Linked DNA regions of Rhinolophus ferrumequinum. The protein of the gene in region 1 purifies or fractionates together with the protein of each later gene. This does not show direct contact. Links are inferred from orthologs where the notes say so. Each region holds a gene or a part of one and is shown in the gene's direction. Other genes may lie near its edges.

The links. The genes of interacting proteins can lie anywhere in the genome.
Region 2: the proteins of PKN3 (region 1) and ARHGAP26 purify together in Homo sapiens (affinity purification with mass spectrometry; 3 studies listed by BioGRID and IntAct, with this or other methods). This does not show direct contact. The link is inferred for Rhinolophus ferrumequinum from reciprocal best matches to the Homo sapiens genes PKN3 and ARHGAP26.

What each region holds. Positions count from the first base shown.
Region 1 is NC_046295.1:77,464,511-77,468,253, forward strand, and holds the start of PKN3 (serine/threonine-protein kinase N3), read left to right. Parts: upstream 1-1,271; 5' UTR 1,272-1,480; coding exon 1,481-1,546; intron 1,547-3,155; coding exon 3,156-3,396; intron 3,397-3,565; coding exon 3,566-3,711; intron 3,712-3,743.
Region 2 is NC_046307.1:16,801,922-16,805,664, forward strand, and holds the start of ARHGAP26 (rho GTPase-activating protein 26), read left to right. Parts: upstream 1-829; 5' UTR 830-1,176; coding exon 1,177-1,330; intron 1,331-2,301; coding exon 2,302-2,361; intron 2,362-3,743. UniProt on the Homo sapiens protein: GTPase-activating protein for RHOA and CDC42. Facilitates mitochondrial quality control by promoting Parkin-mediated recruitment of autophagosomes to damaged mitochondria.

The sequences.
Region 1 (3,743 bases):
AACTTTCCCTTAGTGAGGCAGTGAAACACTTCTCAGCAAACTTGGAAAATAATTTTGAGTTCTTCGACATAGTTCAGCTTTCTGGCTGTAGGAGGGGATAAAGGATCCAGTAGACATCCTCCTGAAAGCAGGAGCAATGCTAGTTCAATTCATGGTGTGTTTTTCTCAAGCCTGTGACCTGCAGTCAGAAGTTGATAGTCTTTCTAAATTATGGTTAACATTCAGCTCAGGACAGCTTGATAACTCCCATTTTAAAAAGCCTACTATGTGCTGGGCTAGGCTATGATTAATACGTATATGAGTTAAAAGTGCCCCGACTTGCCTCTGATTATGAGATGTAGGCATGTCCCCCACTGAACCAAGTTGCCTTTGCATTTATTGATGCCACTTCGTTGATTTCCCATTGCAGGGAAATGCAGAATTGTCCGTGGCTTGCCATTTTCACTTTCCAATCTGTGAGGGGGCTGGTGGAACAGTGGCTCTGGCTGAGACAGAAAATCTCCAGTTGGATCAAGGGGTGGGGGCCTAAGAGACGTTTCGGTTTGTTCATCTGATTTGTAATTTGGCATAACTTGGGTTAGACTTTACTTTTTTCAGACGCATACGTTCTTATAGTGACTAGACAGGGCCAAGACTTCTTGGGGGCGACAGGTTTGGGATTAGCCCTTTTCACACCAATGACATCTGAGAAGATAAATTTAGGAGCAGAGCCAGGTCATGGTGTGAGGTTCGGAGAAAAGGCTGTCTAGGAGCCGACCCGCCACACAGGCCGCGCCCTGCAGTCGGTAGGCGGCGCTGTCCCCACTCGGACCCGCCCCTCTGAGCGCGCGGCGGGGCAACCAGAGAACCCCAGCCGGGGAAATGTCCCTTCCTGCCCTTCTATCCTGGGGTGGGGGTCAGTGTCACAAGGAGCCGGAACTAAGGCCTCGAAAGAGAAGGCGCTGGATCCCAAATCCCGCGGAACCTCTGATCCGAGGGGAGGCGCTGTGGCCTTGGGTTCGGGAGTGGGGTCCCGGGCGCCGATCTGTCGCGGCCGAGAGGCGTCTCGGATCCCAGGTCCCTGGAGTGCCCGCGGACCTCGGGAGGGGGCGCTGGATCGTACGGCTCCCGCGCCGCTTCCCGGGAAGTTTCAAGTTTGAAAGTCTTGGCCGAGGGGCCGGGGCTTCCGGAACCGGAGTGGTGGAGAGGAGGGGCCGAGCGGCCGGAGCGACGCCATGGAGGAGGGGGCGCTGCGGCAGGTGAACAGCACCGGGAGAGGCCGGGCCGCGGGGGGCGGGGAAGCCTCATTCACTGCCCTGGGAGCTGGGAACTCCTGCCGCGTCCCCAGCCCTGCCCCGTGTCCCTTCCCAACTCCTGCCCCGGGCCGCCCTACCCCTCGCAGGGCATAACTGAGCACTGGGGCTAAGTCTTTCATGCACCCGGGAAACTTCCCCAAATCACCCCAAGTGGCTCAGAACCTTCAGCCAGGCAGTCCACGAGCATGTCTGTATCCTCAGTGAAAGCCACTAGGGTGGGTCCCAAAGTTTCCCAAAATCGGTTCTTCCAGGTAGGTCTCTAAGGCCGATGGGAATCGGCGCGGGAAGCAAAGGGGGGCCATGCGGGCACATTGGGAGCGACCTAGGGGAAGAAGAATGCGTGTGCTCAGGGAGAAGGGGACGGGAGGGGCCAGTCCCTGCGCACTTGCGGGGGTGGGGCGTGGGGGGCCTTCCCAGAGCACGTGGGCATGCAGAGTGTGCACGCGAGGCGGAGGGAACCAGTGCCTGCGCTGGAACCTTTGGGTACTCAGAGGGTTCCAGCCCTAATGGCGAGGGAGGCGGGTTCCTGCCAGAGCTGGCAATAGTGCTGGTGGGTACGGGGGCCAAGGCTGTGTGCACGTCTGTTACGGGGGAGGGAGAGGTGTGTGTGCACGTGGCCGGAGTTCAGCCCTGAGCAGACAGGACCATGGACCATGCTCAAGGGAGAGGAGACCTCAAGAAGACGCCCTGAGTGCCCCCACCTCAGCGGCTTAGGCAACCTTCAGGGCTGTGTCTGCCCCCTCCCACCCCCTTCCTCCGGAGGCCCCTCCGCCTGTTCCAGCAGAGGCTTGTACACATTTTCCGATTTCCTGTGAACCTCCGCCCAGCAGTGGCAGCTGGGTGACTCAGGACCCTGGTGGCCTGGCCCCCAGCTCCATGGGATCTTTGTTTGCTCAGGCCCTTGGCTCTGGCCCTCTCCCCTGGAGCCGTCAAAGGATTTCCTGAGCCCCGCCCCTGCCCTCTGACTGCTGGGCCAGCAGGCCACGAAGGCTTGGGGTGGTGGGTCCCAGAGGCCAGGGTGTTCACCCCTTCTACTAGGCTCAGGAGATGGAGAGCAGAGAGGTAAGGTGGAGGCCTTGCAGGAGTCATGGGGGCCTCCTGGGTTCCCCGGGGCTGAAGTCAGCTTTGGCCCCCCATGGTCTGAAATGGCCTCTGGGAATGAGGGTTTCCTCTTCTTGCTCCAACCTGGGGTAAAGTCATGAGAAAGCCTACTTCCTCCCAGGAGCTGAGCTAGGAGTGGGCCCCCGGAGACCTCCCCAGCCTCTCTCTATGCCTCTGTTTTGCCATCTGAGGTGAGGCATCAAGGCAACAGCCCTGGCCTCTACTCAGGCCTCTGACCTTGGGTGAATCCCTAGCGGCTTTTCTGGCCGCAGGTCTTAGCCTGCAGCCCAGCCCTCCAGCAGCCTGATGAAGCGGGACTGGGTGGGCGGGACTAGGCCCCAGGAGGTGGTGGTATCTCCTTGTTGTGACTTTGGGCGGATTACTTAATCTCTTTCTGTGTCTCAGTTTCTTCACCTATAAAATAGCAACTGCACACCTCCTGCGGTTGTTCTCAGGATTGACAAGTTAACATATGCAAAGCTCTTAGAACAGACCGGGCACCCAGTAGTATCACGTGAACGTTGAAAATTCCCCCCCCCCCACCCATCTCTCTGATGTGGAGGACCAGAGCCTCTGCTGGATAAAGAGCTTTGGGGTTTCCACCTGGCTTAGGGATACTAGCTCCACGGTCAGAGATGCTTCCCACACCCCATGCGTCAGTCCTGGGTGCTGTCCATGCCTCCCTCTCCCTCTGTCTGTGGTGAGCTGAGGCTGGTGGCGGCGGGGACTGAGTGGCATAGCTTCTCTGCCATTCCACAGCCTGGGGTGGGCCACCGGCCCCCTGAGGATGAGAAAGAGGTGATCCGTCGGGCCATCCAGAAGGAGCTAAAAATCAAGGAGGGTATGGAGAACCTGCGGCGGGTGGCCACAGACCGCCGCCACCTGGGCCACGTGCAGCAGCTGCTACGATCCTCCAATCGCCGTCTGGAGCAGCTGCACGGCGAGCTGCAGGAGCTGCACACCCGCATCCTGCTGCCCAGCCCGGGGCCTGGCCCAGCTGGTGAGTGAGGAGTCTGGGCAGACCCCGCAGGACAGGAGGCGACAGGCTGACCCAGCCCCTCGGCCTCGGTCCTGACCACCCTCAGAATCTCCCTCAGGTAGCCCGTGCCCAGGAGGGGAAGGGAGGGAAGGAGTGAGGGGTTCACGTGCTCCACACTTCATGCACACAGAACCTGTGGCCTCGGGACCCTGGCCTCTGGCAGAGCAGCCAAGGGCCCGGCACCTGGAGGCTCTGCAGAGGCAGCTGCAGGTGGAGCTGAAGGTAAAGCAGGGGGCCGAGAACATGACCCACACGTATGCCAGTGGCACCCCCAAGGTAAGGCTCCTGGCCTCTGATGGGGAGGATTT
Region 2 (3,743 bases), on another chromosome or scaffold:
AGCACTCAATGTTATTCAGTGCCAACCAATTCTAGGTGTTGGGGATTCCGCAGCATACAAAAAAACTGCGGTGTCCCTTCCCTCGTGTAGCGAAGACGACAGGCAGTGGGAGAAATTATGTAAAATTGTGTTCGATGCCGAACAGGAAAACAACAGGCGGATGAAATTCTGATAAGGATATTAGATCCTTTAGCTAAGGGCAGCTGTGGGCGGGTTTTAAAGCCGGAGTGGCTGTGACGCGGCCGGACTGTAGGGGCGGGAAGACTGCAGACAAGAAGAGCTGGTAATTTTAAGATGCAAACATTTTCTCCCTGACTGGAAGGAGCGAGTGCCTAAGGGTCAACGTGGTTGCTTGATACACTGGGGTTTCTCCGGGGCAGGGGCTGCATTTTGAATGCAAACTCGATTGCCCAGCAATACAGGGCGGGCAGAGGGGAACTGCAGCCCTAATTCCCAGTTTTTCGTGCTGGGCACATCTGACCTCCTTCGCTCCCCAGACCTGCAGACGCACCATCTCGGACTCGGACCGGGACCACATCAGGCGGGCAAGATCGTAGGTGATCAGGGCCCAAGCACCGCAGCGATTGCCTCCAAAGCTCTAGGTCTGCACACCGCGCGGGCGGGAGGGGGCGGAGCTTGTGCTGCGGCCCTAGGCGGTGGCGTGGGCCCCGCCCTCTGCCTCAGGCCCCGCCTCCAGGCCTCTCTGATTGGGTCAAAGCCGCGGAAGGGCCGAGCGTCTTGGGAGGTTCGGGGGGTCGGGCTGAGGCGGGCACGCTGATTGGTCCGGCTGGGATTAGGTCATCGCTAGCAGGTTCGAGCGGCCCGGACGCCGGCGGGGCGGCTGAGGCTGCTGTGAGAGGGCGCTCGAGGCTGCTGGAGAGCGAACAAGCGAAAGAGGCGGGGAGGCGGCGGCCGCACTAGCTCGCCCGCTCGCTCGCTTCCCGGCGCCGCTGTAGGTCCGCCGCTCCGTAGCGCGCCGCCCAGCAGCCGGGTCCCGGCTCGGTTCAGGACTCACGCGCGCAGGCGGACACTGAGCGGAGGGCGAGCCGGCGCCACACCTGTGGAGCCGACGGCCGTCAGGGTGCCAGCCCCGGTCCCACTGCGTGCGTACTCGGGGCTGCGGGCCGCCCGGGCCCCGGGGGAGGCGCGCCCCCCCGGCTGGGCGCCGCGGGCACCATGGGGCTCCCTGCTCTGGAATTCAGCGACTGCTGTCTGGACAGCCCGCACTTCCGAGAGACGCTCAAGTCACACGAAGCGGAGCTGGACAAGACCAACAAATTCATCAAGGAGCTCATCAAGGACGGGAAGTCTCTCGTCAGCGCGCTCAAGAGTGAGTGCCCCCCGAGCCCGGCGGGGACGAGGCCCCGGGGCGGGAGGGGCTGTCGGACGGCACTCCCCTGGGCGTCCGTGCGCCGGGCTGCTTTTCTGTCCTCGGGGCACTGAGGGATGGGCGTAGATGCTTGTAATGAGGAAGGAGGGATACGTAAAATGGGCGAGACAGCCACAATCCGTTGAGGAAAGAGACCCGTCTCCCAGCCGTTTGCGTTCCGGGATGGCCCGGAGGTGACCGAGCGCAAGTGGTGCTCTGGGTCACCATGGTGGATGAGCGCGGCACACAGGTGTCCGGGAGTGGGGCTCTCGTGCCAGGTGTGCCACATCCTGTTGGGAATTCCCATCGCATCCACGACTCCAGCTCCCTTGGGGAAGAGTTGCTCACCCTGGGTGTCCAGCCGTGGGACTGGCCTGTTCCCTGCCAAGGGGGCGCTTGCCTTCCCTCGGGAAAAGGCGGCTTGCACTGCTTCGCTCCCTGTACGCAGCTCCAGCCTGCTCAGGGCCGCAGGTTCTCCGAAAGGCACAGGCGCCACCCAGAGAAGGACTGGGAGGAAAGGTTGGTTAGCTAGCGATTCTTTGGAGTATTGGCAGCCAGTACTCCCCAATCTGGAATCAGGGCCACGTACGTGTGCAGGTTCTGATTCTTGTGTTTAGCAGAAGCTGATAGGGGTGGGACTAGAGAATCCGAGTGTTCTTTACTCTAAAACTGTGGGCGAGGGTTTAAAAATAGAATGAATATATCCTGACTCTCTTCCTTTCCCTTCCTCTCCTTTTTAACTCTCCTGTTATCCTTGAAAATTCAAAGATCTGAGAAGGAATGTCTTCGGTCCTCGCTTAGAAAAGAGAAGTTTAAACTCATCCTTCAAGATTCTGTAACATTTTGAAAAAACCATTTTTGCTTATTCCTTTTGGTAGGAGAGAGATGAAATTTGCATTCAGTGTATGATTTTTTTCCCTTGACTTTTGCAGAGCCAGAGAGTTTCTCCTTCCGGCCAAACAAGAGTGCTCTGGGGATGAGTGCCTTGGATTGTAAGATCGTTTTTTTGGTTCCTTTTCAGTCTACCAATTTAAAAATAGTTCAGCCCATCTTTGAGTTTTGAGAATCAGGAATAAGGTGAAGACAGAGTGTGGAATTGTCTTTGACTTTTCTTTTCCTGTCTCTGTGATGGATTTCTTAATAGGTGATACCTTTTAGCCAAGAAAGGTTGTGTTGGCAGAGTAGGGACCTAGCTGTGAGAATTGTTCCCAGGCCTCTTTTAAAGAAGACTTAACAGAAGTCAACAGCCTGAGATGTCATTTTGTGAGCCTGTTATTTCTAAAAATGAAGAGGGAGACAATGGAACCACAGGACAGCAGGTGCCAATCTTTAAGGGGTGAATTAATCATAGAATTGTGAGAAAAGACTCTTCCTTTGTCAATGATCAGGACCTTCTTTGGTTTAGGGAATTCTTGACCCCATTTATAGGTTGGGCTCCCGAAGTTTGATTGAATCTCAGGCTGGCTTCAATTGGGCCTCTGCTTTATTTAGCGAATGTATGGAGTGCCTGCTATGTGCTGGGCACCGAGAATGTAGTGGGGAATAATTCTGCTGCCCTTGTGGCTACAGACTTAGTCCATGCCGGGTACTGCTCCACCTGTGAATAATCTCATGAGCTATTATTCATTTTACAAATGACAGAACAGGTTTGGGGGAATCACTAACCCATAGCCACATAATCCTAGCAGTGGGGCTTAGTTTTGAACCCCCATGTGGGTCTGAGCCCGAGATGGAGGTCCTGCTGATGTAGAGTTCTTAATCCTGCCCCATCCCACTAGCCCAGAATGGACCCCCCGGACCAGGCCTGTTGGAATTTGGACTTGCATTTTGTATCTTGGCCTTGAATCTGAAGAGGGTGCATGTGCGTGACTAGCAATTTATTTGCCTGCTACTGTTTTTTTGGGGGGAAGGGTAAGAATTCTTTGAGTAGAAGGAAACAATGCAGTGATAGGGTTTAAGAGTTACTGAAGTCGTCTAATGGAATGGACCAGCCCTATACCTTGGGGGAAGACTTACGTGGAACTAGAAATTCTGATTTCTGTATATCCAACTCTACTACTAACTATACTCTTATACTAATACTGCTACTTAAACGTGACCTCTTAAAATAAAGAGGATATATTTGATTAAGTACTAGTTCCCAGACTTCAGGCGTTCCATTATTGTTAGGTGCTTGCTACATTGTATACTACTATGTTAGTATTTGTGTACTGTTTTTCTTCAAACGATCCTTATCACTACTGTAAATGTAAAGCAAATGTTTTTAAAAGTAAATACATAATTATACAAGTAACACTGGTTTAGATGATTTACAGTCTCTTCCAGCTCTAAAAATTTTTTTTTATACTTGGTATTTACAGATCTTTGGGTTTAG